Linked DNA regions of Oreochromis niloticus. The protein of the gene in region 2 interacts with the protein of the main gene of each other region in a biochemical or structural test. Links are inferred from orthologs where the notes say so. Each region holds a gene or a part of one and is shown on either strand. Other genes may lie near its edges.

Region 1 (7,682 bases), on a different chromosome or scaffold from region 2:
TAATTTTGGATTTACTATCTTGCTTGTAAAAGCCTATTGAAAACATGACAAATTTGTATTACAAGCCATTATTAGAATCCAAAACAAATCGATATTACCTAACTAAATTCCCCAATGCATAGTCAAGAGGATAGCTTGCAAATCACTAAGAAACAAGATGAGACGGAGCGAAACAAAAAAAAGAGCACATATGAAAGCAATCAGGGGATCCCTTCCCCCATTCACACTCCCAAATTGGTTCTGTTGGCTCAAACTTCAGTCCTGTGATTGACATGCTGCGGCAACAGCCTCCATTTCTGAGACAGCTTGAATATTTTCACAGGTCAATTAAACTGAAATGATGGGACTGAAACGAAAAAAATGATCAAGCTTGCTTTATCTGATACAGAGTGAGCGCAGCCTCAGCCAACGTTGAGGTGATAAACCTCAAAACTTCCCAGCACGTAGAAGTCCTCTATTAAATACCTATGGAAAAAGCAGGTACACATGCATAACACTGCTGTCTCTTTGGGAGAATTTGGAAAGATTAACAGCCTTCGAAGCTGTTGTCTGCAAACCTGAGTAACACCTAAAGTGCCATAAAATGCTTCAGGAAGTCTGGCTGCCTGCAGGCTGCTGCCGGACAAAAATGTTTTCCTACACTGCATTTAGCTTTAATTCTTTCTTTGTCCCGTACAAAAGACTTTTTCATGCACTCTCCAGCAAGCAGAACCCATTTGTTTTTTTCTCCCTCTGTCGTGTGGCTGGAGTCCCCTGATAATATTAAGCGATTACATCTAACAGCCTTCTAATAACTCTGATACCATCAGCTTCACCATTCGAAAACCGCCATGTATTCATACTTGGCGTGAGTGTGGCACCATGCTGTGGAATAACATGCTCACAGAGACATGACAGGCTTTTAAGAGCCCAGAGAAGGACAAGGCCACAGTTTGTTCAGGCCTTTTCCTGTCAGGGGCTCTGTATGTTTATGCTGTGGCTTTGACACCCATTCACTGCTGAAGGACTGAAATAAACAAGCCCTGAGAACTATTGAAAAAAGCCACAGACGTGGATGCAGAGTATTTTTAGTACGTTTATTTTGTAACTCTGGAACTCTAGCATGTATTTGTCTCACATTTTCACGAGGCATTTTGAAGGAAATAAAAATGACAGCCCTGGCTCTGAGCAAATCTGTGCACCCAGAAGGCTCCTAAAGCAGTCCCTAATTACCATTTTCAATCCCAGGGTCAGCGTGGAATGTGATCCAGAATGGATTACGTTAGCACTCTCCCTTTTTCTATCCCCGCCACCCTCTCTTTTTCTTTAAAACAATTTTTGCCACTTTATTGCTTTCATTCTCCTTCGTTCTCCAGGTCTCCTATATGTTTAATGAGTTGCACATGTACAGAGAGTGGTGCTGTGACAAAATGAAATGCCCCACTGCTCTGTCTCATGCTGGGATCACAGTGTTCTGCTTACAGTACACAGTCCCAACCCTCTGCCAACCCACCTGTCCAAACTACACTATCGGGATCCCCATTCATGTGTTGCTCTGCCAGCCCTTTTTAAGTGCCTCCTGTTACCAGTCATGAAAAATAATAATAATAATGATAATAACTCTGTGTTTCTGACTCATTTCTTTTCGCCTGGAGGGGTAGATATTAGTCATGCAACTCTAAATTAAACCAAATCTTGGAAGAGTTCAGCTTGCAAAATGCTCACAACAACTCACAAGCTAGCTGCAAGAGAGTGTAAATGCAGGAAGACGTAGACTCTTCACTGGAGGGAAAGGAGGAAAGCAATATTCAGGTGAAGAGGAGCTGTAGCTGCTATCATATAAGGACACTTGTGCATGTCATCAACAATGGCTGCCTAAGAATCATAGCCTTAAGGCTGCACATACCATGCAGCAGCTGAAACTCAAAAGACAGACAGAAAGAAAAAAGACAAACTTTCTTAATCAGTCGTGTCTCTCGAATATTTGTCCACGAGTACAACACCCCAAACAGAAAGGTAGGCCCTATCTCTTTGAAGCTTTTTGGACTACTGGACGCAAGTCCTCCACAAGAACAGTCCCATATGTTTCACATTATAAAAGGTCTTCAGTAGACCATAGCCCACAACAGCAAGGAACCCCAAATTATAGCTACTGCAGAATACAATTCACTGGGGGAAACGTTTAAAAGCTAAAAAGACTACTAACCCTGACTTTATGAAGTTTCAGTTAAAGGCATTTAAATGGTTCTATTTAAAAACATGATGTAAAAATAAAGACATTAAAAAAATCAGATGAGAATGAATGACTCGCTTCCCTGTTTTCAGAATTTTTATACCAGAGCGCGCGCACACACGCACGCACGCACACCCTGTTTCTAACCAAAGTAAATACAAAGAATTGCCCTGTTTTACTCTCTGGACGACCTCACTGCAGTGTGACTGTTGAAAAGTTCTCCACAGAGTGGAAGTCTCATCCCGCTTTTTAAAGCACTGACCAGCCAGAGTTAAAACTCCTGTCTTCTTCTGGCGAACTGTTTCGGACAACATGCCTTACCTTTTTAAAGTGAAAGCGACGACTTGTTTTTTTGGGGGGGAGGGGGGATTCTTCTTTTCCTCCTTTTTTATGTAAGTTTAAGCTGTAGAAAGAAAAGGAATATGATAAAGTCCGGAGTCTCAAAGAGCCCTCAGCCGTCAAACAGGCTTACTGCGGGCTGGGAGGCTCATTTTCCTCTGCTGGAATGCGCTCTCTGCCTATTCGGAGTTTGCTTGGACCCAGGGGCTCTTTTCGCTCCTTTCTGTCACTGCTGGAAATAAAATAAAATCTTGCTCGTATCCTGAAAAAAAAGGGAAACGCTGCTGCTGCTATTTCTCCTATGCCTCCAAAACACTCCCTCTAGTCCAGGCTACCGCTGCAGCCGCCACAAGTCCTGGCATGGGATAGTCCTCCTACCGCTCCGCCGTGGGTGTCTGCCTTCTTCCCTCCCCTTTCAACCTACCTCCCCTCGCTTTGGCCTCCTCCCTCTGCCCCCTTCCATTTGTTTGTTCTCACCCTCACTACTCATACACAGACTTTAATTTCCTGCCAACCCCCACCCACATAATCACCTTTCATATGGCTGCTGTACAAGTAAATACATATTCATGACATAATGAAATATATAATTGTAAGAAATTATAACCTACCGTTTAAAATCTTTAATATATAAGTAAGTTTAAATTAGGCTACAACTTTTTAATGTTTCATAAATGTACATTTTATTTCCTCAGTAGTTCATGGGTGTACTACAAATATTCAAACCGTCAGGTTTTTTTTTAGTTTTTTTTTTAGACTAGTCACTTTATTACATTAACATAGACCGAGTTAAAATTACTCACACATATTATAAAGATCTCCAGCGGTCCAAATCAGCCTCCTTCAGAAGGTAAATCTTGGGTCTTTCATGATATCTCATGCACTGCTTTTATTTATTTATGAAGTTTTTTAACAGATATTTAAAGCTACCATCAAACAACTAAAGAGTAAAACTTCACTCTCAATCTGTGTAAGATCAAGGGTAAAATAGTGAGTTGCATTTAAACAGGGATCCAAGATCAACTTTAGCATTACAATCAGTCATCGTTAGAAACAATGCTGTCTAGCTAACTTCTTCTCATACATGCAACAGCTAATTTAAATGAACCAGAACAAAAAGGCATGTAAAATTCTGTGACAACTTTATTTTGATAGCGGGTAACAGCATTTTAGTAGCAACAATTTTCTACAGTTACAATGTAAAATATGTTGTATTGCAATGTATAACATATATTGTAAGCTAAGCCTCAGGATTTGCAATTAACAACAACAAAAATGTTCTCTCAATAATGCATGAATTAACCTGTCATGACAACACAACAAAAGCGACATTTATTCAGAGGTCATGTTAAAGACAAAATCAACAGGCATTTATTATATATTGTTATAAAAAGTCATCATGTAGTAAAATTAACTGAAATAAGGTTATATCTACTAAAAATCTATTATGATAAAGGTGTAAATAGCACTCAGCATCTAATATTGAAACTTTCAATCATTACAACCTGCAAACAAAAAAAGTCTAAAAAAAAAAAAAAAACCCCAAACAAAAACAAAACACCTCCCCAATCTTTTAAGTACAATACTTTTCTTTTTTTTTTGAAAAGCAAATGGTTATAAAAAAAAAAGCAAACAAGCAAATTGCAGAGGACATGCTACTCTTATGTGATTAATTATTATCATTCTGTGGAATGAATTAAAAGTGTGTGCTAGAACTATAAACTGTACTGCTGGCGGATGTAAAGGTCATAGTAGAGGTGTAATCCACACTGCCTCTACGAGATCCACTCCTCGAGCCGGTACGAGACCCAGCCCTTGAGCCAGAGCGAGATCCTGGGTTAGAGACATTGTAAGGGCTGCTGATTCCCTTGGTAGACACAGACGAGGCTTGCAGCATCTTCATGCCATTGCTTTCCTCCACCATGCAGCTGTCCATGGCTTCTTTGTAGGATATTTTCAGTTTAGTCTTGGGACAGGTCAGGTTCTTCTGGTGGTTCCGAGTGTCTTGAAGCTTCTGGGCCCCCTGACCATCTAGCCATTTTCTGCGGATAGCCTCTTCAATACTGACGCGACGTCCAGTGCCAGGTTCAATCAGGCCCCCTGTCAGGTACTGAAACTCCAAAAATCTCTGGCCAGCCTCATAAGGCAGCCATGTCTCCTTGACTGCCTCTGCCGCAGACATCCTTCTTTTAGTCTTCACATCCTCAAAGCCAACATAAGCTTTCTGGGCAGGTTTCAGTTTACTGGCCATGCTTTCATCAATGATGCTCTGATGGACAGCATCTTGCAGTGACAGTCTCTCACCAGTAGCAGGGTTGATGATACCACCTGTGCATGCCTGGGCCTCCAGCAACCTCTGTGCTGTAAGAGTGTCAACTATGCCTCTTCTAAGCGCTTCACTAACAGTTATTTTCTCCAAGGTCTCTGTGTCAAATATAGCCCCCACGGGGCTGTGGTCATCAAACATCTCAGGGGGAGAGACTGTAATAGATATACTGTTGAAGCGTTTACGGACAGTAGGAGAAGATGGTGTTGTGTGGGTGGGGCTGCTGCAGGTGATCATGTCATCAACATTGCTGGCTGCAATGGTCATTTCAAGGCTGCTGCTTCTGCTGGCAATTTCGTCAGCAAATTGGGTCAAGGTCATTGTTCCAGCACGATACTTATCCAAAGTGCTCTGGTTAATGACACCACGCTCTAGGCAGTCCTGAATATCATGTTGGAGTCCAGTTTTTCTATCTACTATAACCAAGCGTGCAGAGCCATCTGACCCTGTTATAGTTATTTCCTCCCACTCACACTCCTGCTCTGACAAGTCCAGGAAAGTATCGTAGTCAATCAGCTCACGGTGGTAGGCCTCCCTCACTGACATTTCAAGCCCAGTGTCTGGATCGACGATTACAACCCGCCTCTTGCGTAGGATATTTGTGCGGCTTTCCTGCGTCTTCTGGGGCTTTCTCTTGTCTCTTAGTGGCAGCAGTATTAGACCTGTTTTTTCATCTTTGATGCACCTTTCCTTCAGCTGAAGATATGTCAGGTTCTCCTTGGTATTAGGATCAAAGAATCCTTTTGTGTCATCCCCTTCATAAGATAAGATTTCATTCATCTCCTCATCAAAGTATCCTCTTTTATAGGCAACAGCAACATCAATACGATGGCTCTCTTTGGGGTCAATAATCCCACCACTGGCAATCTGAGCCTCGAGCAGTCGGATTCCATGACCCTTCTCAATAAGATCTTTCTCAATAGCTTGGAAGAGGGATATAGTTTTTCCTGTGTTTGGGTCTCTGTATCCTATTACTGCCTTCTCTGCAGACAACAGCTTGCCCTTAAACTCCTTCCCAATCAGACCCCTCTTGCTGGCGTCTTCCACTGTCAAGAAAACATTGTTGACTGGATCAACTATGAAGCCAGAAGCAGCCTGGGCCTCAAGAAGCTCCAACGTGGTGCCTCTCATAAGCAGACCCTCCTTCATTGCCTGATAAAAAGGTAGTATTCTGTCATTGGCTTCATCATAGATCCCGGCAATACAGGTAGAGCCATGGAGATAGGTCTTTAGCTTGTCTTCAATATCTCTGCTAGTGAGTTTGCCCTGACTGAGCTTCTGCAAGTCAGTTTCATCCAGAAGTTCAGATTTGACGAGTTCCGAGACAGAGACTTCACCACGGAGACCTTTCACTGTCAAGGGTTTTTCTGGACCAGAGATCAGAAGCAAGCCAGAAACAGGTTCCACTGTACACTTCATCCGAAGGTCATTGTAAGTTGTCTTCTGTCCAGTTGTTGGATCCAGATAGCAGGTTGGTTTTTTAGTCAGAGCCCTGTAGAGGTCCTCGTCAATAAGATTGCGGTCCAAGGCCAGATCTTTTGGTAGGAAGACACCCAAAACAGGATCCAGTATACCCCCAACAGACTCTTGAGCCTGGAGCAAGCGGATGGTTGTCTCTTTGTCTATGTGGCCTTGTCTGCAAGCCTGACCCACAGATAACACTTTGCCAGAGTATGGATCTTTGAAACCTGTGCTAGCAGCTTCAGCTTTCAACAAGACATCTCTGTCTTCTGTGTCTACAATCCCTCTTGAACAGGCGGTATCCACAGGCATCTTCTCATTAAATGCAGGATCCACTATGTAGCCCGTTGCTGCCTGAGCTTCCAGAAGCTTAAGGGCACTCTCTGGGCTGAGCATATTCTTGTTTTTGGCTTCAGTGAATGGGATTTTCCGTTGAGAAGTAGATGTCATACCAGCAATGATGCCACTGCCCTTAAGGTTAACCTGGATGTCTGCAGCTACCTCGCTCACTGTCCTTCTTCCCTTTAGGAGCTCATCTAGAGTAGCTTTACTAATGATACCACAGTCGCAAAGCTGATGGGCTGTAACTTTGCGGCGCACCCCGTCAAACAGAAGCTTTGACGGATCAATGGTTTGGACCTTCTCATCTGTCTGGGTCTGCCTATTCAGAGTGTTGGGCCTCTGCTGCAGTCTGCGTATTTCTCTTTCCAGGGACTCCTTCTTGAGAGCCAGCTCTTTTGCCTCCTTCTCTGAGCTCAACAGACGGCTCTTGTACCTTTCTTCAATACTCGTTAGCTCCCTCGTAAGCCTCTCGATCTCGCTCTTGAGGGAAAGCCTCTCTCGATCGGCCCTATCTCTGTCTGACTCGCACTGCCTAATCTGAGAACTTTTCATCTCATACTGGCTCTTTATAGTGCTTAGCTCCTTGAAAATTGAATTTTTCTCCTCCTGCAGCTGCTGTTTGTTTCGACGCTCGGACTCTAGTGTGACTTTGATGCGATTGAGCTCTTCTTCTAACCGCAACTGACGATTCTTGTCCTGCTCCAACAGTTTAATCCTGGACAGCAAACTATCCTTCTCCAGCAGCAGATCACTGTATTTGCTTTGGGATTCTTGCACCACAAGCGATGTCTGTGAAGAGATAAGAAAGTATGTTGTCATGTATACAAGACATTTTCCCACATATAGAATACAAACAATTTAAATTAAATTACATGTCCTTCATTTGTTAGACCTGTCTGAACTAAAGTACATACGTGTGCATACCAGCATGTTAGTGTTAAACTGTTTAATGGTATGAAGTTCATAAGTGCCATAAGTGAATGGGTAAATGAAATGCACAGC
Region 2 (8,004 bases):
TGATCTCTCTCATCAACTCCTTATTTTATGAGGGACAGAAATTATATTTAATTAATTAAATAACCCTGGAAAATATGTTATGGTTTTTGTTTATATTGTACTGAAAATACAACACGATTCTTTGTTTCTAAGTTTGGAATCGAGGGTTTGAAACAGCATTTTTACCCGTAGCTCCTTACTTGCAACGTCGTGCAGACATGGGATACGTTACATGTTTTACCTGGAGGGAGTTTTTACAAACACCACATCAAACAAAAGGTTGTTTAATAAGAAGAATTTTTAATATATTTATAATAGTTATCAGACTGAATGAATGGGCAGTAAAAAGAGCAAACTCCTTTCTTTTAAATCATTTATTTCCAAATGAATGGCCTTGTTGGAAGGGCTTTTTGGCCCTTATGATGCATAATAATTTCACCGCGCTCATGAGATGCTACTGCATTTTAGTTATGGATGCTTTGAAAGTTTACACTACATTAAAAATAACTGCAACCTCTTTAGTTTTATAGAGAGCTGGCCAGCACCCTACGCCGAGCCTGATTTGGCCTGTGAGCCGCAAGTTGAGTATCACTGTTACAGACCTATTATGAATTACAGGGAAGTTAATAAATAGTGAAAATAACAGGGTTTCTTTTAATTATTTCCCCATGATTTCATTCTGCTAACACAAACAGGTAGCTGAGGCAATCGTTTAAATACTGAGAGTTTAGAAGATGTCAGCAGTATTTCTGAGTGTCACACTGATGACACTTTATTTGTCTAACACTTTATTTCCTCCGAGGATTTTCCCACTATACTCTTAAAGCCGGGTGAAGAGAAGACATACGGAAGAAGAGGCTGAAAGTCTCCTCGGAGGACAGCAGCGATGCCTCTCTGGTGGTCCCGCTCTCATCTCCGGGTGAGTTAGATCAGTAACATGCAGTCTAGACTGGTGAGTCACAGCAGGCTGAGTTAGCCTATCACTGAGGCCACTTCAGTAAGACTTAATCAGTGCACAGTGAGCTTCACTAGAGTGTGACGAGGGCACGAACTCTATGGATACAAAGGCCACTGAACACAGACACACACACGGGGACGGGGAGGTGAAAGAGTGTGTGTGTGATATAACACTTTAATAATACTTCATAACTGAAAGTAAGACTGCTGAGATTCACTCTGGAGCCAGTCGGAGCGCTCGTCCTGAACTGATGCTTCACAGATTGAGTAAAGTGCACCAACCAGTTCCCACCAACAATGCAGTCATAGTTGAAAATCACTTCACCTGTGACTATAGGCTTTGTTTGTGTGTGTGTGTGTGTGTGTGTGAGAGAGAGAGAGAGGGAGAGAGCAGCTAATAAAACAGACAGTTGTTTGTACTTACATTAGTCATTTTAGTTGTGAGGGGGACTTGAATGAAAAACCCCAAAGGGGGCTCTTTCTTTATTTTGTGCACATCAATGAAAGCCAACAGCTGTATGTCAATAAAGTGAGCACTGTAGAATAAATTGTTATTGAGTTCAGATTCATTTTTCTATTAGCATGTGCCAATAAAACTGCTTTTAAAAGCAGCTGGCCGGGGATTATTGATCTCCCCAAATACACCTAAAATAGATCTATACAGGTCCATATGCACCCATTAATCTGCACAACCAATCATTTTCTCAGTTAACAAATTAAATATCTCAAGTCCAAGTACTGACTGACCACCAGATCAAGCATTAAATTATATTATTTATTATTATAAATTATTATTATCCCCCCAAAACCTATAATAAAATGAAAAACAAGCAAAAATATGATTTGCAGCTCTTTTGCACCTTCCAGTTAGCTCTTGTTTTACTGGCACGTACTCAAGCTCCAAGTGTGACAAGTGGCCCCTCTATCGCACAATGTCCCCCTTTTAGAGCCAGGAGTGAATAATTGACATCGTCATGATCCTTGGCCCACAATGCACTGCCTGTTTAGTGTCTTGTTTTTGTTTGTGTTTACAGCAAAGCCACGAACCGTCCGCCTGCAGTGCACAAGTCAGTTGTGTCGCAAAGCTGCAAAGCAGGTTCTCATATTTCTTACCTGAGTCTCTGCTCTGTGTTTATTTGAGCAAGTCAAAGTGTTGCAAGATTGGAGATTTGTGTTTATTTATTTTTTAAATCTTTTTAAAAATTATTTTGGTCCAAACTGTAAATCTAAAGCGAGGCTGTTTTGTGACAGGTGTGATTTTTCCTCATAATCAGCCCTTCATAAATCCCAGGAGGGCTGAGAGGACCCGGCTGAGGAGTCACGGAGGAATGTAGTCCTCCGGACCAGAAAAAAACCTCCAGCATTTCCTGAAATTACAGCCAGCACACTCCTGTGCCATCTCCCCGACGCTCCGTGGTTCTATTTTGCCGACGGCGGAGGTATTAGAGACAGGGGAAAAGCGCTGAAAGTTACCCACCTTCTCTGCCTGAAGCGCCCGTCACTCCGAGCAGCACGGCCCCGACAAACAGCAAACTTCTCGCCGCCTCCATCTGCGCAGACCCGGCGCTTCTAGTCCATCTGGGGGGAACAGAGATGAAGTTTTTGCATCTCATTTAGAGCTAACTGTCGTTTCTGGCACCGTGTGGAGTTGTTGTTCGTGTCCGAATCTCAGTTACTTCCTCCCATGAATTCCCTGCCTGTTGGTAGTAAGCGCGTAACAGGAGCGGAGGCGCGCTCCCGTGGCGTGAAGGCCTGAACGGGGAGTGGCAGGTTCAGTCAACCCGCCCTCACTCCGGTCTGACTTACTTAACCCTATAACACGTTTCATTCTAATTATGTCTAAAAATTACCTTCAAACTTTAATTGCGCTTATTTCTCCTCAGAGGGCTCAAGTGGATCAAAGTGTTAAATATGGAGAACAATTAAAGCATTTACCCTGTTCATGCATAATCTGTGAATATGCTACCATCTTTTTAAAAATTTCAGTATGCCTTCTATCGCTTGGAAGTAAAGGGGAAAAGTCAAATTGGCTATATGCAGGGGCGTTTCCGGGATTTTTTACAGTAGGGTGCCACAGAGGGGTGGGGTGGGGGTCAGCATACAGGGTGTATCCAAAAAAGAACAAAAAAAATCATCTGATTTCAAAGTGCTTTAATTCCACAGCCCTTCACTGGAAACGGTCGAAAAAGCAGATTTGTGAGTTTTGCACGGTTGTCTGTGGGTAGCAAAACAACAGCAGTGACTCCAGACATGCCCGCAAAAGTATGGGACGAGTTTGCCTTTCGTATGGACATGTGCCGTGCATCCAGAAGAGGACACACTAAACACTTGTGAACAAGTTGTAAGTTTTGTTATTTTAAACTTTATTTTCAGCAATGTATTTAAAAAAAAATTACCACAAACTTCTGTGTCCATTGCTTTAAAAAAATACCTAACCTTTTGCAATCTGATGATTTCTTTAGATACACCCTGTGTTTATGAGAAGCAAAATCTGGGCTCTCAAAAAGTATTCTTGACCCTCAAATATGAAGGGTTAAGTTTGAATAAAATGCACTTGAAATGTGTAAACTCAAAGGTTTATTTATTCAAATAATTAACCATTAAGGGAAATATGCTTGGTGTAAGCTGACCACATAACAATCAAATACATTTCATTCACCAGATTGCATTAAATGTTTCACACTGTACATTTACATGTAATCAAATTACTTAAAGTTAGAATTTTGGGGATAAATATTTTTTGTATAGAGCATTGACTTTGAAAAGCCTGGCTGTGATTTTCAGTCCCTGACCCATACTATGACTGTATAACATGAAAAGTGGTGCTTTACAAGAGTTTAAACATAATTTTGTGTTGGTCGATTATTTTGGAAAGTTAAAAAAAATAATTTGATTATGTAAAAGTAGTAATAATTGTTAAGTAACTTAGTAACGCAACGGCTGTATAACCATCACACATTTAAAGCACCTCCAGTAAACATGCAGATTATGTAGAAGGGTGTTTTCATAATTACTTACTCATTGATGTAAATAACACTGTTGCACCTCAGGATGATTTTAATTACTTATATATTTCTGGGCAGCTTGTTATGATAAGCAGGTTCTGGATGGATGCAGGACTCTGAGGCAGGCAGATGTAAAACAGAAAATTACCTCTATTAAAGGTGAAGAAAAGTCCAAAACACATTCAAGAAGTCCACAAGGAGAATTTAAATAACAGAGGTCTAACAGGAGAAACAAAATCCGACTGGAAATAGGCTGGAAACACAAGAGGATAACAAACAGACAATTTAACAATGAACAAAGGAAACACAGGACTATAAAAACTCACACGCTGGGTGCTAATCAAGGGAAGTGAACACTACTGGGAGAAATCTAGGCACAAGTAAACAGAATCTGGAGAATGAAACTAAGGAAATAACAATTACAGATTAGACACACATTTACACAGTAAATTAACACGAATGAACACCGGTGAAAATAAACTAAGGCACAAGGGATGAGATATAAAAAATAAATAAATAAAAGAGACTAGATCTCAAAGAAACAATGACTAACACCAGACTATACTATAATTACAAGAAAAATAAAGAAACCCCTGAACTGAAAACATAAACTTTAACTTAAAAACTTAAAATGCTGGGTCCAAAACCCAGGACCACGGCAGATCTATAATAATGCAAATTATCTACATGACAGTAAGTAACTTAAGATTTAAAATGAACAGTATTGTGTATAAAGTATAATATTTAACATTTACATATAAGTGAATTAGACCTTTATCTGAGTAAAGTACTAAGTTACACAGTTAAAAAAAAAAACATTGTCCTGATTAATTTTCTGTATGGCAAATGGTAAAATTCAGTGTATATAATGTAACTCATTTTAAAATGGTACATTGTACTGTATACATTCCTACAGGTCCATGCTCTCATTCACTGCTGGGCATTATACAGTTGTCATGGAGCCATAGACACATGTGGTTTTTGTGTCTTCTTATTGGCTGTTCTGACACTTACTTTTTTAAATGTACTTTAATCTTTTCTCTTGTACGTCCCCTTTTTCTATTTTTCTGTGATGAGCACTTAAATAAAGTCACTTTCTTACACCACATCCATGATGTAATACTGATCCCCAAACATCCATGAAACCTTACAATGTGAATACATTTCAGATTAAAAGGGGACATCAGGATATTTGAAAAATGTTCAAGTTAAATTGCCTGTTTTTTCAAAAATTACATAAAATGTGCATTATCATATAAGAAAAGACCTACATCAAGAGTTTATTTAGAACAATTACATAACAATTATCCCACTAACACAATATTTCACCAATTTGACGTGTAGTATTAAATGTCTGTTTAAAAGAATGACACATTTTACAATAACTGTGTCAAAACGCGTAATTAACAAATTCAAACATGTTTAATTAGAGTTTCATTTTGTTTTGTAGAAGTTGTAAAACTCCCTGTTTGAATTATTAAATGTGAAAACTGGTTACATGAAAAAAATTATCTGAAATGTATCGAGGCAACGATTACACTCTTAGCTGCATTATTTCATTATGAATCACACTGACTGATATCGATGTGTTTATTTTTGCAAACTGGCAAATTTTTAGATGTAAGTCTTGCTTTGTATATCAGTATGTTTGACTATTAAAACTTTATTAATATTTAAGGAATGAATCAAATCAACATTTTAGATCAGGGGACTGTTGAATTTATAAAAAAAAAAAAGTGAATTCTTTGCGTGATACAAGATTGGAGTGTCTTCATATTTCTCCCGCTTTTCTCATGCTCTTCATTCACGGTCACAAATCAGGAGTCGAAGGAGGAAGAATAAACTCTATTCATCCCAATCTATCGTCTCTCCCCACCCACAGAAGCCCGGGTCAGAGTCCAGCCTCCTGCACAGAGCTATCAGAAAACAACAATAAGCTACACACTGAGCCACACAGACCACAAGTTGCGGACCGTTCGCGAAGCTGAGTGGTGCTAGTGAGGCTGAAATATTTAGTTCCCACAGAAAAAAAAGTCATCTGCTCCTGAGGGATGCAGTCAGTTTAGTATTCTGGTTGGAAGATTTTCCCAGCAGTGAACTTTAAGTCTTAAACTTTAAGTGTTTGTTGGCTCTGTATGCAACTCCTCGTTTTAGCAAGCTGTGCTACAATAAAACCTGATCCAGTAGTCAGCAATTTTCATCACACTTGATGGTGGAAATTGCTTCAGAAAAAATGGCTGTAATTCTCAGGAACACATAAAACGTGTGTAAAAAAAAAAAAAAAAAAGGTCTGTGTGGGTTAAAAGGTGAGGAGGCCAGGAAGTGGGTGAGAGATAATGTGTTCAAGTGAGAGAGTCCAAGGACAACTGCAGTGAAGCACAGTGAAAATATACAGAAAAGAAGTCATTACCAAAGAACATCATAAATTCACTCATAGTTCAGTTCCCCTGACTGGCCAAGTTTTTAGATTTGGCATGAGAGAAGAAATAAGAAATACAGTGCGGGACTCTTCAAGGACAAGAAAACCATATTGTTTCCCACTGCTGCTCATAAATCCAAATACAAGTCTAAAGGAATTTGTCTTGATTATATCGGAGACACAATGAAGGTATCTGTGCATATATCACTGGCACAAATAGTACAAGGTCAGCAAGCCCTTTAGACTGCAGTGTAACAGGGGAGGGACAAACATGTCACTTCTCTACTCACTTGTCCTGCTCTGTTGATACCTCTAGCTGTGAACATTTCATGCATTTTAACACAGGTTTAGTGTAGCAACACTCCTTCAAATCATCCACCTAAATGCAAGAAAAATTAAGGATTACTTAAACTTTTATAAGTATACGTGGGAGGAAATGGAAATACATCAGTGCTTTGTAAGAGACACTCACAGGCCTGTGAAGTGGATAAACAACTCAGTGCATTTAGGCATGTAGACATGGTCAAAACAACCTGAAAACTGAACATGAGAATGGGGAAGAAAGATGATTTCGGTGAGTTTCAACATGGCATGGTCTGAATATGTCAGAAACTACTGATCTGCTGGGAGTTTCCCAAACAACGATCTGTAGAATGGTTTAAAAACGAGAACATAACCAGTGAGCTGCAGTTCATATCAGAGGTCAGAGGGGAACAACCAGACTCCCTTGAGCTGATAGGAAGGCAACAGTAACTAAAATAACCTCTGTTTACAGGATCTCTGGAAGCACATTGTCTACAGCAGCAGAAGACCACACCGGGTGCCATTCCTGTCAGCTAAGAACAGGAAGTCAAGCAAACCAAACCTGAACAACAGAGGCTTGAAAAAGAGCTGCTGGATCTGATGAGTCTACATTTCTACTGTGACAATCAGATGGTAGGGTCAGAATGTGGTGCAAACAACATGAAACCATGAATTCACCATGTCATGTATCAACAGTTCAGGCTGCTGTTGGTGTTAGAGATATATTTGGGCTCCTCCTGACTAATTCAGCTTACCTGCGTGTTGTTTCTAACCATATCCATCCCTTTATGACCACAGTGTGTGATCTTCTGGTGGCTGCTTCCAGCAGGATAACATGCCTAAGGTGTCAAAGTTCAGTCATCTCAAACTGGTCTCTGGAACATCACAATGAGTTCACTGTTCTCAAATGGCCTCTACAATCACCAGATTCCAATCCAATAGACGTTTTGGATGTGGATGAATGTGAGAGGCTCATCATTGATGTGGCAAATCTGCAGCAACTGTGCGATGCTGTCATGTCAATATGAACCAAAATCTCTAAAGAATGTTTCAAGCACCTTTTTCAGTCGATGCCATGAAGAATTAAGGGAAAAGAGTGTATACTAGGAATGTGTGTCTGACAGCTGGATTTGCCACCATTTAAAAAAATTATTATTCCAAATGTAACTTACAAAATCAAGCTCTTACTGTAAAAAAATGACTGTGCTGTATTAAAAATCTTTAGGTTTGTTTGCCATTAAAACTGCTACTTTAGAGTTCCCATAAACATCTTTTTACTGTAAAATATAACATCATATGCTTTCCAGAGACTTTACATCACATCTTTTCTGAACTATAAAA
Region 3 (7,060 bases), on a different chromosome or scaffold from region 2:
TAACTAACTGAAATTATTTTAAAACTGATAAAAACTAAGAGACGTCCTCAGGTGACCTCACTCAGTCCATCATGCTTGTAAAAGCCCTGGCGTGCTTATATTATGCACCAACAGGAAACTAACTTTTAGCTGAGGCTCTGCCTCAGTCTGATGCCCCCCCCTGCACACCTTGTGGATGTGGCTCTCCAGCTGCTGATGAAGACTTTGGTAGCTCTTCTTCACCTGCTGCTTGTCCCGGATCAGCGTGGCGAGACGGTGCAGCGGCCCCGAGTTCAGATCGTCGGCGTGACTTCTCATTATCCGACCCAACGCCTCTGTCTGACGAATCACCTGCGACCACGACTGGGACACACACACACACACACACACACACACACACACACACACACACACACACATACACTCTTAGACTGGTTCACATGCTCTGCCCCTCCCACTGAACCGACAGCTGAGCCGCTCACCTTACTCACAGTGCTGACATAGTCAGCAGTTTCTTGTTTCTCCATCTGCTGTGTCATGCTGAGCAGCAGAGCTGCGTACTCTTTATCACTTTTCACCCGCAGCGTCATGAAGCGCTTCACCGTCTCCAGCAGCTAGAAGGCAGGTAGCAAGAGTGAACCAGACAGGAAGTGAAAGTGAAGAGGAGGAAGCGCAGAATAACACAATAACACAAAAGACAGATGTTTGACACAGAATGTAGATAAAAGATGGACATGGCCACTGTGACACACTGATTTTTTGAGTCTCAACGTTAGCATTTTGGATGAAGCCATGTTATTTCTTTGATTAAGGAAGTGACCATATTTGTCCGAGAGGGCAGATTTACCTAATGCTTAATACTTACTCAGCGCTGTGTGATATCAAATCAAAATCTTCAAATTTCACTCACAAAACTGAAGATCACCTTTCTCAGGCCTGTTAGTACAGTAAGCTCACAGCAGCCATATTAATTAACATAATTAAAAATGTTCCAAAAGGCTCCAACAAACTTTAATATACAAACTTTAAAAAGGTGTTATATAAACATTCACACTCATACAGGTGTTTAAACCAGTAAATTATCTATAGAGACCCCAAATAATGTGCATCAGGCTGTAAACATGTTTATTTCTGCTGCAAGGTTTTAACATGGAAGTCTGTGGGGACTGACTCACTGCTGCCCCTGCTGGACATGAGAGGAACTGTATCCATCTTTAATTACAGTCTGTATAACCAGGGCCCCCCCACAGGTCAGACTGTGAACTACACCCCTCTGATAGTGATCTCCGCAGGTGGAAACATGTTGAGCTCTGTGAGTATTTGAGGCTAAATCAGACCTTTAACTCCCAGTCCTGCAGCTTCAATAATCCCTCGTGGGAATTCCTTAGATCCCGACCGAACCCCATCCTGGATCTCAGTCTTTGTGTTTAACAGCGTGGATTAGCGGACACTGATAGCATGGCCGTCTATGGAGAGAGAGAGAAATACGTGCAGGTTCATAACAAATAGATGATCTGAAACAAACTCTTCAAACCTCGACATCTCCCACAGTCACCTCTAAACCTCTGAACAAACTGAGCAGGAAATATTTACTCTGCTAAAGCCACAGCCTGAAACCTCATAAACCATTTTATAACTCTCTAACAACCCTCTAAAAACCTTTGAAACCATCAGAAACCAGAAGAGGGTGATTTCACCTCCAGCACAGAAAAACTCCAACTGTCCGTTAACAGAAATGAAACCATCAGGTGTGAAACACTCACTTCTTCCTGCGGCTTTAAACTGATTTAAACTATAAACATTAGCTTCAATCTGTCAAAGCTAACTCCAAAATCTTCCAAGAATTTCCAAAACACGTTCCAAACATATTTCCAACATCTTCACTACTTCCTTCCAGGACGCTTCAAAACTTTTCAGACTTCCTTCAAACTATCTAATCACGTCACAAAACCTTAAAACACATGAAACGGTTTAAATATGGTTTTAAAACACTTTAAGATCTTTAAAAACTTTTTTTTTAAAAAGTTGTTAAAACGGTTTATGGCACTTTAAGTGTCAAACTATGCTAACGCTAGCCGCTGCTCCCATATAAATTAAAGGGAAACGAGGCTAGCGTGCTAAAAAGATAACGGCAGCTTCCTTTGGAATTGCAGGAAAACTGACTTGCTAACATACTAACAGCTGCTGTTAAACTTTGTTCAGAAGTCTTTAAAACTGAAGCCGAACGGAGAAGTCACACTCAGAGACTCCGTGTCCGCTTCTCCGAACCTTTTCTCCGGGTACGAAGCTCCGATGGAGCGGCGGAGGAGCGCCGGGATACTCGCAGGGGGTTCCCAGTTTTTCCTGCGCTCCTCGGACGCTTTCTGCCGCTTTAACGCACCAGGAAGTGAGTTAATGCGGCAGGAGGCTCGCTGTCCGGTCACCGCGGTCCTCTGTACTCCTCGGCCGGTATCATGTCCTCCAGTTCTTCTGGATTCTCTGCTCCGTTTCCCGGCTTCTCCAGCTGCTGTCCGGCTACCGAGCTAACGGCTAACAGGGAGGGGCTTCCGTGGGAAACGGAAGAAAGGGGGGAGGAGGGGGTCTTATTGTGTGGCTGAAGACGTGAACGTGGAACATGCATGGGACATACGTTGGAGCTGTCTGGACACAGACAGAACATCTGGATCAAACACTCCGATTTCACACACCTGGATTAGACACACCTGGGCATCATTTCTTACCGCTGCACCCTGTGGTGGAAACTATAAAAATAAACCTGAGAATATGCACACCTGTACCTGAGCCAGGTAAGCATCTTGGTGACCCGCCAAACTAAACTCAAGCAATAAAACCCATTCAGCTTGTTATGATAGTACTTACTAAACCAGTCTATCGGAAATATCCAGAGCAGCAGGGAGCCTTACCTGTACTGTTACCTCTCACTGTAGCAGGTATTAGCCCTTCGTCACTCCCATTGACTGTAGTCAATGGTCACTCCCCACATCCTTGTTATGAAAAATTTTTTCTCTCTGACATCATCAAAGCGCTCACATTAAGGTAATCTCCAGCGCACAGAAATACACGTAAACTTTCTGCTTCAGACTCATGCATGCTCATATCAAAGCACCTCCTCCTCCAATCAGAGGTGTTACCAGAGCGCAGGTAATAGAGCTCTATGAAGAACGCACCTGAAAATATGACTAATGTGACATGAGAGAGCTTTTATCTGTGAATTATTGAGTACATGTTTTTATTTTCTGATATATTTCTCATGCAAATGGAGAGTCCTCTTCACACACTAAGGTTAATTATAAAGTTATACAGGGCCCAGTGCTATAACCAATTCTGTTTACATTATAATCCCTTGGGGAGTATCTCCCTTAGGGAGTATCATTAGAAGGCATAACATACCTTTTCCCTGCTATGCAGATGACACCCAGCTGTATCTATTCATGAAGCCAGATAACACACACCAATTAGTTAAAATGCAGGAGAGTCTTAAAGATATAAAGACCTGGATGACCTCTAACCTTGTGCTTTTAAATTCAGATAAAACTGGGATTATTATACCCAGCCCTAAAAATCTTAGAAATATTGTATCTAACTAGATGTTTTTATGATGTTTTTAACCAGTTGCTTTTCAATGCCAGTTTAAAAGCATATGTAGGACTGCTTTCCTCCATTTCTGCAATACCTCTAAAATTAGAAACACCCTGTCTCAGAGTTACGCTCATTTTTTTTAAATAGCACCAAATCACAACAACAGTTGTCTCAAGGCACTTTATATTATAAGGTAAAAACCCTACAATAATACATTGTAAACAGAGAAAACCCCAAAAATCATATGACCACCTGTGAGCAAAAGCTTTGGCAACAGTAGGAAGGAAAAATTTCCATTTAACAGGAAGAAACCTTCAGCAGAACCAGGCTCAGGGAGGGGCAGCCATCTGCCACACTGGATGGGTGTGCGCCAGGGCTGGACTGGGACAAAAAATCGGCCCGGGCATTTTGACTAGAGACCGGCCCACCAGGTATTAAAGCCATAAAGCCTTTGAATGAAAACAAACGCTGTTGTGACAGTGATGTACACTGTCTTGTTGGTATATGTATGATTTCTGTACATTTTATGTCAGATAAAAACTTTGTTCGCAAGATTCAGATAATTATTTAATAAAAGCTAGATATTTTAAATGAGAATAAGAAAGAAAAGTATGTCTTTGTGCCCCCTTTTCCCTGTTAATGCCCTACCTGGCCCCCTGGCAAAACTTTCCTAGACCCGCCCCTGCACAGTTACCAGCTGTCAGCTACATAAAAAAGGATCCTGGTGTTATTTGTCTCTCAGAAACAGTTCATAACTTCCCTTCAACTCATCCATGTCACCTAAAAGGTGAACCTGTTTCTCCATCACCTGTTCAGCTCTGATGATTCAGTAAGGACATCTCCTGGTTTCATCTTCATCTTTCCCTCTCACCACATATCCAAACCGATATCATGACCAGCAGTTTTTACAGCTGTGGCTCCAGCAAACATCAGCTGATACTAGAAATTACTATTAAATAAATTCTAACAACAGCTGATCAAGCTTAAACGTGCTGCTGTTGTTTAACGCGACATCTGCTGGTTTCTTCTTTCTGGCGCAAAGTGGGCGATAAATAAACAAGAGAGAAAAGCCGATCAGCTGATCACTGATCAGTTTCATGATTGAAGTAGGAACAGGAGAGGGAGGGGAGAGAATGAGAGAAGAGGAGGCAGCTGTGCAGCGTAAACACACAGAATAACTCCAGCTTTGTGTCTTTGTTTCATTCTAGCTAAAGTACGGGACAAACTGCGTCTCTTCTCAGCTTAATACGAAACGCGTAATATTTTCTCTGAATGAGGGACCATTCCATTTTTTAAGGAGCCGTTGGCAACTCTACTAACTAAACTTATGAATAAAATTAAGTTCACTATCAGTAACATCATAGCACCCGCCCAGCTGTATACAAACTCCGTCATGCTAGCTAGTACGCAGTACGAGTTATTGTAACTGACAGTAAAAAGTCAGCACAACAAAAATAAACTCCACCTAAACTTGGTTTATATCTGACCCAGACAGACTGCAGGTCATAACTTCTTACCTGAAGTTCAGTTCACCTGACACTCGGACCGCCTCGGGTCTCTCCTCCTCCTGCCTCCCCTTTCCCTCATCCACCTGCTGGCCTCTGTGGAATCTCTGCCATAGCCACCACCAAACAACTGAGTTATTTTTACACATCGGCCAGCATCTGGCGCATCCACCACCTCTCATTGTTCATGCTGTTACAACATGAATAAATAAATAAATAAATAAGTCATCAGCCCACCAGGCAAATGCCCGGTATGCCCGATGGCCAGTCCAGCTATGGTGTGAGCAGATAAAGACAGGAGAAGGACATGCTATGGAAAAGAGCTAGAGATTAATAATTAATATTTAAATGCAGAGAGGTGTACAAACATGTGAGTGAAGAAGAAACTCACTCAGTGCAGTCCCCCAGCAGCCTACACCTATTGCAGCATAACTAAGGGAGGATTAAGGGTCACCTGATCTAGCCCTAACTATATGCTTTATCAAAAGGAAAGTTTTAAGCCGAATATTAAAAATAGGCATAGTGTCTGTCTCCTGAATCCAAACTGGACACTGGTTACATGGAAGAGGGGCCTTGAAAGCTCAAGGCTCTCCCTCCCATTCTACTTCTTAATACTCTAGCTTTCATGGGGTGATACAGTATTATAAGGTCATTAAGCTAAGACATGTATGTGACGAGCAGCCGGATTTTAAATTCTGGATTTAACAGGGAGCCAATCAAGATAAGCCAATATAGAAGAAACATGCTCCCTCTTTCTTATCAGTCTCTCTCTGTCAGTAATCGTGCTGCAGTATTTTGGATCAACTGAGCTTTTCAGAGAGTTTTTAGGACATCCTGATAATAACAAATTACAATACAGTCATAAATACATAAACTACTTTTTCAACATCACTATGAGACAGGATGTGATGCTGAGGATCTAATTTTAGAGATATAGTGCAAATGGAAGAAGACTCCAAGATTTCTCACAGTGTCACTGGAGGCCAAGATAATGCAATGAAGAGTAAGTATATGGTTAGATACCATATTTGTAAGATTGTCAGGCCAGAGTACATTAACCTCAGTTTTACCCGAATTTAGAAGCAGAAAGTTAGCGGCCGTCCAAGTCTTTATGTCTTTATGACATTCCTTCAGTTTAACTAATTGTTTGTGTTATCTGGCTTCATGGATAGATAAAGTTGGGTGTCATCTGCATAGCAGTGAAAATGTATGCTATTCCTTCTAATAATACTGCCTAAGGGCAGCGTGTATAATGTAAACAGAATTGGTCCTAGCACTGAACCCTGTGGAACTCCATAATTAACCTTAGTGTGTGAAGAGGACTCTCCATTTACATGAACAAATTGGAGTCTATTAGATAGATATGATACAAACAACTGCAGTGCAGTACCTGTAATACCTAAAGCATGTTCTAATCGCTCTAATAGGATATTATGGTCAACAGTATCGAACGCTGCACTGAGGTCTAGCAGGACAAGCACAGAGATGAGTCCACTGTTAGAGGCCATAAGAAGATCATTTGTAACCTTCACTAAAGCTGTTTCTGTGCTGTGATGAGCTCTGAAACCTGACTGAAACTCTTCAAATAAATCATTCCTCTGCAGATGATCTGTTAGCTGTTTGACAACTACTCTTTCAAAAACTTTTAAGATAAAAGTAAGGTTGGAGATCAACTAATAGCTTTTTAAATAATAGTTTAACTACTGCTAAGTTGAAGGCCTGTGGTACATAGCCGATCATTAGAGATAGGTTGATCATATTTACGCTTGAAGCATTAATTAATGGTAGAATTTCTTTGAGCAGTTTTGTAGGAATGGGGTCTAAAAGACACGTTGATGGTTTGGAGGAAGTAATTACTGAAGTTACCTCAGAAAGATCAATTGTGGAAAAAGACTCCAAATGAATATCAATGGTACTGAAAATACCTGTAGATAAAGTTACATCTGTTAGATGATTATGAGTAATTTTTTCTCTAATGGTTAAAATTTTATTTGTGA

Evidence for each region. The genes of interacting proteins can lie anywhere in the genome.
Region 1: the proteins of erbb2 (region 2) and tensin-3 form a complex in vitro, tested with the Homo sapiens proteins (2 studies listed by BioGRID and IntAct, with this or other methods). The link is inferred for Oreochromis niloticus from reciprocal best matches to the Homo sapiens genes ERBB2 and TNS3.
Region 3: the proteins of erbb2 (region 2) and fer form a complex in vitro, tested with the Homo sapiens proteins (2 studies listed by BioGRID and IntAct, with this or other methods). The link is inferred for Oreochromis niloticus from reciprocal best matches to the Homo sapiens genes ERBB2 and FER.

The regions. Positions count from the first base shown.
Region 1 is NC_031982.2:17,521,590-17,529,271, reverse strand, and holds the start of tensin-3, read right to left. Parts: upstream 3,004-7,682; 5' UTR 2,534-3,003; intron 1-2,533. Other genes in the region: dspa (desmoplakin-A), read right to left, coding at 4,248-7,469. UniProt on the Homo sapiens protein: May act as a protein phosphatase and/or a lipid phosphatase. Involved in the dissociation of the integrin-tensin-actin complex. EGF activates TNS4 and down-regulates TNS3 which results in capping the tail of ITGB1.
Region 2 is NC_031973.2:16,306,654-16,314,657, forward strand, and holds the start of erbb2 (receptor tyrosine-protein kinase erbB-2), read right to left. Parts: upstream 3,005-8,004; 5' UTR 2,550-3,004; coding exon 2,414-2,549; intron 2,408-2,413; exon of another isoform or gene 2,188-2,407; intron 2,033-2,187; exon of another isoform or gene 1,971-2,032; intron 899-1,970; exon of another isoform or gene 502-898; intron 1-501. UniProt on the Homo sapiens protein: Protein tyrosine kinase that is part of several cell surface receptor complexes, but that apparently needs a coreceptor for ligand binding. Essential component of a neuregulin-receptor complex, although neuregulins do not interact with it alone.
Region 3 is NC_031972.2:38,198,054-38,205,113, reverse strand, and holds the start of fer (tyrosine-protein kinase Fer), read right to left. Parts: upstream 3,004-7,060; 5' UTR 2,883-3,003; intron 2,766-2,882; exon of another isoform or gene 2,676-2,765; intron 2,517-2,675; exon of another isoform or gene 2,248-2,516; intron 1,446-2,247; 5' UTR 1,386-1,445; coding exon 1,317-1,385; intron 594-1,316; coding exon 462-593; intron 343-461; coding exon 169-342; intron 1-168. UniProt on the Homo sapiens protein: Tyrosine-protein kinase that acts downstream of cell surface receptors for growth factors and plays a role in the regulation of the actin cytoskeleton, microtubule assembly, lamellipodia formation, cell adhesion, cell migration and chemotaxis.